Callithrix jacchus: one gene and its partner. The protein of the gene in region 1 interacts with the protein of each later gene in a pairwise test. Links are inferred from orthologs where the notes say so. Each region holds a gene or a part of one and is shown in the gene's direction. Other genes may lie near its edges.

The links.
Region 2: the proteins of SH3GL1 (region 1) and DPPA4 interact in binary tests that used the Homo sapiens proteins (3 or more experiments, as listed by UniProt). The link is inferred for Callithrix jacchus from reciprocal best matches to the Homo sapiens genes SH3GL1 and DPPA4.

The regions. Positions count from the first base shown.
Region 1 is NC_133523.1:4,111,536-4,115,096, reverse strand, and holds part of SH3GL1 (endophilin-A2), read left to right. Parts: intron 1-1,356; coding exon 1,357-1,425; intron 1,426-1,748; coding exon 1,749-1,821; intron 1,822-2,622; coding exon 2,623-2,763; intron 2,764-3,293; exon of another isoform or gene 3,294-3,561. UniProt on the Homo sapiens protein: Implicated in endocytosis. May recruit other proteins to membranes with high curvature.
Region 2 is NC_133516.1:100,617,543-100,621,797, reverse strand, and holds the start of DPPA4 (developmental pluripotency-associated protein 4), read left to right. Parts: upstream 1-1,437; 5' UTR 1,438-1,496; coding exon 1,497-1,520; intron 1,521-3,140; exon of another isoform or gene 3,141-3,381; intron 3,382-4,255. UniProt on the Homo sapiens protein: May be involved in the maintenance of active epigenetic status of target genes. May inhibit differentiation of embryonic cells into a primitive ectoderm lineage.

The DNA.
Region 1 (3,561 bases):
GCCGTGTGCACGTCTTCACACAAGTGACCAGACCCGGGACGTTAAATTTGCCGATGGCTTCAGAGATGGCACACCCTGTGACACTTGGCCTCCAGAGGGCAGGGCCAAGCATGTGACCTCAGGTGGCCTCCCTCTGGGAGCCTCCATTTGGGGCAGGGCCTGGCAGCCACTCGACTCCTCGTGAAGCACTGTGTACTGGGAAGGGCCTCACAAGGTCCCTCTTCTCCCTTCTCCCTTCGAGGCATCTCTTGGCTCCAGGCACACACGGGATGCCCGGGGTGAAGAAGGAGCGCCTGTGCTGGGACAGCGGTGCTGGGGTTGAGGGGTTCCGCCCCGTTCCAGGGCTGTTTTTCACATCCCAGGCGCTCTCAGAGGTTTGGGAATTAAGTGCTTGATTCTGCCTCCCACCACACGAAAGAGACGTCATTGTCATCGCTGTTCCTGCAGCTGAGAGCCATGAGGACTGTGGTGTGCCAGGCCTGTGCTGACTGCCTTGTGAGCCTCAGTGCCCATGTGGCAAGGGCCGGGCTGTCTCATCCCACAGACGCGGGCACCAGAGTGCAGGAGAGTGGCGGCTTCCCTGCCTGCACCTCTGCTTTTAACCGTCACTTCCTGCTGCCTGTCCCAGCTGAGCTGGCAGGATTTTTTCTTATTTGGGACAGAGTCTCGCTCTGTCACCAGGCTGCTAGAGTGCAGCTTCCACCTCCTGGGTTCAAGCAGTTCTTGTGCCTCAGCCTCCCAAGTAGCTGGGACTACAGGTGCACGCCACCACACCCAGCTTATTTTTGTGTTTTTAATAGAGACAGGGTTTCACCACGTTGGCCAGGATGGTCTCAATCTCCTGACCTCATGATCTTCCCACCTCTACCTCCCAAAGTGCTGGGATTACAGGCATGAGCCCCACCGCGCCTGGTCAGGATTTTTTTTAAGTAGACACAAAATATTCAAGAATGGGGGCAGATCCCCACATTGCTCTCTATGGGGATGTTTGTGTAGGCGCCTTGGGAAGCAGTGTCTTCTGAATCATGTGTTCCCAGGCTGAGGCTCTGGACTCCACTATGGCTAAGGTGGAGCCTGCTGTGGCGGGGTCCCTGTGGATGTGTGAGCAGCACTGTGAGTGGCAGTCAGGACACACAGACGAGGATAGGCCACCCCCGCACTCCCCCTGCAGGCCCACCCTGCTCTGGGCCAGCAAGTGGCCCTAGGGTGCCTGCGACAGTGCCTGAGGCATGTGTCCCGTTCGCCTGGCTTTCTGCCACCTCCTGTGGATGTGATGTGGCTGGAAGGTGGCCCAGGGCCTCCTGTCATCTTCCTCCTCCCCTGGGCTCACAGCATTTCCCCTCTTCTGTCCTCCAGCTGGTCAGTGAGAAGGTCGGAGGGGCCGAGGGGACCAAGCTGGATGATGACTTCAAAGAGATGGAGAAGGTGAGGAAGAAACCGTGTTCTCCATGTGGTGATGGCACCTCCCTGGGCCTGACCTCTGCTAGGCATAGTGGAGGTGGCCAACTCTGACTGGCCTGGGTCTGTGGAGTGATGGGGCCCAGCAGGCATGGAGAGCTGGGGTGTGGGGGCCTTGTCAGCTGGACTTGACAAGCAGGCAGCCATGGGGACGTGGCTGAGCTGAAGACATGGAGGGAGGTTGGGGGATCCTAGTGTGGGCTGTTAGGGAAGGAGGTGGGGCAGCAGGGGCCTTGTGTACCTTGAGCCCCCAGTGGCTGTAGAGTCTCATATGCCGCGTCTCTCCACAGAAGGTGGATGTCACCAGCAAGGCGGTGACCGAAGTGCTGGCCAGGACTATCGAGTACCTGCAGCCCAACCCAGGTGGGTGCTCCAGCCGATGCTAGGGCCTTCCCAGGCCCTCAGAGGGAACGTAGGGGCTGACAGAACCACCAGGCTCATGGGTGGCAGGTTTTAGGCACTGCTGGATCCAGGGGTGCCGAGGCTGTGCTTGCCTTTCCACGTCAGCCAGCAGCTCAGCCCCTTTGTTGCCTCACTCAGGCCGGCCAATTCCTCAAGGCTGTCCCAACCTTAAACCTCTTCCAGCCAGCAGTCCCGGCAGGGAGCCTCTCCCCCAGCTCACTTGTGGGACTTATTTGTACTGACTGTCCCTCCCCAGAGCCCCTGGCCTGGGCTCCATGCTTGGAGCCCATGAACTGGGTCTCCCCAGCCGTGAGGCAGGCCTTTCCCCAAATGCGGGCTCCATAGGAGGCAGTGGACATGGGGCAGACCCACAGCCAGCATTGTCCACTCAAGCCCTACCAGGAGCAGACCCAAGCAGGCAGCGGAAAGGACATAGCTCCTCACCCACCCCAGGAGCCTTGGCCTCCCCACCCCCCACTGCCCATCACCGCTGCGCGTACTCCTTCCTGGCACCCCCCTAGATGAAGGGTTCCTGGTCATAGCCACATTCTGGGAGGAGCAGCCCTTAGGAGGAGGTGGTGTTGCCCCAAGGAGCTTGGTTACCTCTCCATGCGCTGCCAGCTCCTTCGAGGCTGGTGGGAGCAGGGAAGGGACCCTCCACTGTGCTTTGTGTGGCCTGGACTGTCCGCAGGCACAGGAAGTAAGGGTGGGGCAGGGGATGTGGGGGCTGCAGCCCACTCCCACCGGGCCGTCCTGTTCCAGCCTCGCGGGCTAAGCTGACCATGCTCAACACGGTGTCTAAAATCCGGGGCCAGGTGAAGAACCCCGGCTACCCGCAGTCGGAGGGGCTCCTGGGCGAGTGCATGATCCGCCATGGGAAGGAGCTTGGCGAGTCCAACTTTGGTGAGTACTGCTCTCTGGAGGCCACACCCCCACGAGGCAGGGCAGGTCCAGGTCCGATCCACGGCCTAGTCCCTGCCTGTGCTGAGCCCTGGGGATGCATGGTGGCCCCCACAGCTTTCCAGTTGCAGGGGACTGCACAGACAGAGCCATCCAGCACCGGCCAGCAGCCAACGGGGCTCATTCCTGTGGCTCCAGATCGTCCCCAGCTCAAGCTAGTTGATTCCCCAGGGCCTGGCCCCCCAGCATCTGTCCTCCCACCACCTTCAGCCTGTTGAGGCCAAGCCTGGGCCCTTTTAGGAGCACAGGGAGGGAGGCTGCTTTAACATCCCACATGGATTCGGATTTTAGGGCCCTTGGTTTTGCTCTGAGTTCCTGGAGTGTGGGGGCTGGGCGTGGTGGCTCACACCTGTAATCCCAGCACTTTGGGAGGCAGAGGCAGATGGATCACCTGAGGATGGGAGTTCCAAGTCCAGCCTGGCCAACATGGAGAAACCCCGTCTCTACTAAAAATACAAAAATTAGCCGGGTGTGGTGTGGTACATGCCTGTAATCCCAGCTACTTGGGAGGCTGACGGCAGGAGACTCGCTTGAACTTGGGAGGCGGAAGTTGCCGTGAGCAGAGATTGCACCATTGCACTTCAGCCTGGGCAACAAGACTGAAGCTCTGTCTCAAAAAAAAAAAATTAGTAGTAGTGGGGAAGGATCTGGATGTGGGTACACACCTGTGGTCCCAGCTACTCGGGAGGCTGAGGTGCCAGCATGGCTTGAGCCCAGTTGGAGGCTGTGGTTAGGTAGTAC
Region 2 (4,255 bases), on another chromosome or scaffold:
TGGCCAGGCTGGTCTCGAACTCCTGACCTCAGGTGATCCGCCCACCTCAGTCTCCCAAAGTGCTGGGATTACAGGCATGAGCCACCACGCCCTGACTGAGTTTTAAACTCACAATTTGATATAAAGAATACTTGGGCTCGGAGTGCTGGCTCACACGTGTAATGCCAACACCTTGGGAGGAGAAGGCTGGAGAATCACTGGAAGCATAGAGTTCGAGACCAGCCTGGTCAAAGTAGAGAGGACCCCGCCCTGCCCACTCCCAACACACACACACAATAAATAACATACTCTATAGACGTTTTTTTTTTGAGACGGAGTCTCCCTCTATTGCCAGGCTGGAGTGCAATGGGAAGATCTCGGCTCACTGCAACCTCCGCCTCCTGGGTTCAAGCGATTCTCCTGCCTCGGCGTCTTGAGTAACTGAGATTACTGGCGCGCGCCACCACTCCCAGCTAATTTTTGTATTATTATTATTATTTATTATTTATTTTTTTGAGATGGAGTCTTACTCTGTCGCCAGGCTGGAGTGCAGTGGCGCAATCTCTGCTCACTGCAACCTCCGCCTGGGTTCAAGCGATTTTTCCGCCTCAGCCTCCGGAGCAGCTGGGATTACAGGCGCGTGCTACCACGCCCGGCTAATTTTTGTATTTTCAGTAGAGACGGGATTTCACCCTGTTGACCAGGATGGTCTCGATCTCTTGACTTCGTGATCCGCCCGCCTCGGCCTCCCAAAGTGCTGGGATTACAGGCGTGAACCACCGCGCCCGGCCTAATTTTTGTATTTTTAGTAGAGATGGGGTTTCACTATGTTGGCCAAATTGGTATCGATCTCTTGACCTTGTGATCCGCCCACCCGGGCCTCCCAAAGTGCTGGGACTGCAGGCTTGAGCCACCACGCCCGTCCTACTCTGCAGACTTTAAAACCTATGATTACTAGATCATTGGCAGATGAAAAAGATGCTGGGTGTTGGTACAGACAGAAACCTGAGTTTTAGTTGGTTGAGTAACTCCCTTAGGAAATGGAATGTATTCGGTGGGAGAAAATAGTTTAGCTTTCTTCAAGCCACCAGTCTGGTCCCTGAAGTCTGCTGTTTCCACATGTTCCATTACTAAATCCCTTTCCACATCCTGCACAAGTCAAGTCTCTGGCAACTCCCCCCCCCCCCCCCCCCCCCCAGGAATTGTTCTGCAGGAGCCTTTTACCTCTCAAGGTCTCCGGAACCATACTTTGGATAATTACATTAAAAGTGCACAGAAAAGGGCCAGGAATGGGATTAGTGATTCCACCCCTACAAAAGTCCCCTCATGAATAAGAAAGGATACAATTTCAGCATTTACAAATTGTGGGGGAGGGAACAGAAGGGGAGCAGAAAAGAAGAGGTGGGGAGAAAAAGGGTCTTTGGGAGGCAGGAAGTGGGAGGAGACTTTGCAAACAACAATCTGGGGCCAGGGGCCATTTTGGAAGCATCTGGCCAAGCTTCGCTTCCTGTCCGAATATGGAGAAGGTAAAAGGCAAGGAGGTCGGTACAGTCTTAGTGAATGTGTTTTCTGTCTTTGTCTCCTCGTGTTTCTGTCTTCCCTGAGCACTCCTGATTATTATTATTATTATTATTATTATTATTATTATTGAGACGGAGCCTCGCTGCGTCGCCCAGGCTGGAGTGCAATGGCCCGATCTCGGCTCAGGGCAACCTCCGCCTTCTGGGTTCAAGCGATTCTCCTGCCTCAGCCTCGCGAGTAGCTGGGACTACAGGCACGCGCCACCACGCCCAGCTGATTTTTGTATTTTTAGTAGAGATGGGGTTTCACCGTGTTGGTCAGGCCGGTCTCAAACTCCGACTTCAGGTGATCTGCCTTGGCCGTCCCAGGTGCTGAGATTACAGGTATGAGCCACCGCGCCCGGCCCGGATTTGTCTTTTAAGGAGAAAACAATGTACCTTCGGGTTTTCTTCTCTTGCCTCTTAGGAATAAACCCCAAGAACATGATTGCAGCCTGGTACAGCGGAGTAAGAAATGAGGTTTGCTAGGTTTAGCTGAGGAGAGGAGGTTGAGGGTGTCAAGAGATGGGGACCAAGAGAGAAATGAGGTGTTGAGGTTTTGGTTTTGGGAACAGGGTCCCTGCGTGTCTCCCAGGCTGGAGTGAGCATCACTGCTCAGTGCCACCTTGACCGCCCAGGCTCAAGCGACCTTTCCGCCTCGGCCTTCCAAAGTGCTTTTGGGCACACGCCGCTGCTCCGGGCCCGGGTGTTCTGTTTTGAAGAAGTGCTTTGTCCGGTCGGAAGAATTAACTGAATATCGGGGCCAGAGGGAAATGGTTACAGGAGAAAACCGGCGGTGAGGGAAGATTTTAGGAAGAGGTCATTGAGCTGAGGTTGGAAAAGCGTGAAACTCCTTAATTCCCTTTAGATGGACACGGATCCTAAACCAAAGGTGCTGGGTACGAATTTTCTTTTTCCCAGTGTCCTTAGGATTTAGGAGCAAGCGGAGCCAGACATTGGCAGCCGCACAAACTGAAGGAAGAGAGCTTTTGAGACGTGTTGCACATGCACTGAACGGCCATATTTGAGCCTCTTTACTTGAACCGGGTCGTTTTTAACTCTCAGTTTTAAGTCTTCGTGAGGTCCAAAGTGAGTAGTTCTTGTAAGGGTTACGCAAAGGTAAATTTCAAATCCAAATGTAGACCTGCTATAGAGATGTAAAAATGCCATACAAATGTTAATCTGTGCAGTAATCCGCCTGAAAGTGAAGAAAAAGATTTAGATTTAGGGGAATTTTTTTTTGGTTTTTAAAAATGTTTATTTTATATACAAAGAGGTATAATGGTTTTTCATGAGGCCGGGCGCGGTGGCTCAAGCCTGTAATCCCAGCACTTTGGGAGGCCGAGGCGGGCGGATCACGAGGTCAAGAGATCGAGACCATCCTGGTCAACAAGGTGAAACCCCGTCTCTACTAAAAATACAAAAAATTAGCTGGGCATGGTGGCGCGTGCCTGTAATCCCGGCTACTCAGGAGGCTGAGGCAGGAGAATTGCCTGAACCCAGGAGGCGGAGGTTGGGTGAGCCGAGATCGCGCCATTGCACTCCAGCCTGGGTAACAAGAGCGAAACTCCGTCTCAAAAAAAAAAAAAAAAAAAATGGTTTTTCATGGTAGATGTCTTGGATAATCCTTTGAAGACCATTTAGTCCAACTTAATGAAACCTATATCCTTCGCGTACTGACGGAAACACTGGCGGCACATATTGAGACCGTATTTACGTATCAAACAGTGCGGGTTTGAACAGACTCGTCAAGAGCGAGAACCCTGGCCGAATTTTCGCGGGTGGCTCCAGTACAGCTGCTGGTGACCCATCTTGCTCTCAGAAAGGCAACGAGGTAAAAGGCTAGGGGAAGTTTTAGATTACATTTTTTTAATTTTAGAGACGGAGTCTCGCTCTGTCTTCCAGGCTAGAGTGCAGTGGCGTGATCTCAGCTGACTGCAACCTTCGCCTCCCGGGTCGAGCAACTCTCCTGCCTCAGCCTCCTCAGTAGCTAGGATTACCGACTAGTTTTTTGTATTTTTGGTAGAGACGCGGTTTTACTTTGTTGGTCTAGCTCGTTTCGAACTCCTGACCTTGTGATCTGCCCGCTTTGGCTTCCCAAAGTGCTGGGATTACAACTGTAAACCACTGCACCCGGCCTAAACATTTTTATTTTTTTAACGAGACGAGTTTCTTTCTGTCACCCACGCTGGAGTGCAGTGGCTGATCTCGGCTCACTGCACCCTCCGCCTCCCAGGTTCAAGGGATTCTCCTGACTCAGCCTATCGATTAGCTGGGATTACAGGCGCGCAGCACCATGCCCAGCTAATTTTTGTTGTTGTTTTGTTTTTTTTTTTTGTTGAGAAGGAGTCCCGCTATGTCGCCCAGGCTGGAGTGCAATGGCGCGATCTCGGCTCACCCAACCTCTGCCTCCGGGTTCAAGTAATTCTCCTGCCTCGGCCTCCCGAGTAGCTGGGATTACAGGTGCCTGCTACCACGCCCTGCTAATTTTTGTATTTTTAGTAGTGATGGGGTTTCACCATGTTGGTCAGGCTGATCTCAAACGTCTAACCTTGTGATCCACCCGCCTCGGCCTCCCAAAGTGCTGGAATTACAGGCATGAGCCACTGCGCCCAGCCAAAGACAATTATTTTTATTCTAAGAGCAATAAACCGCTGAAAGGATGTAAAGTTTTCATAGTGTCACTCTGCCAGCAGTGTTAGAAAATAATTTATTTG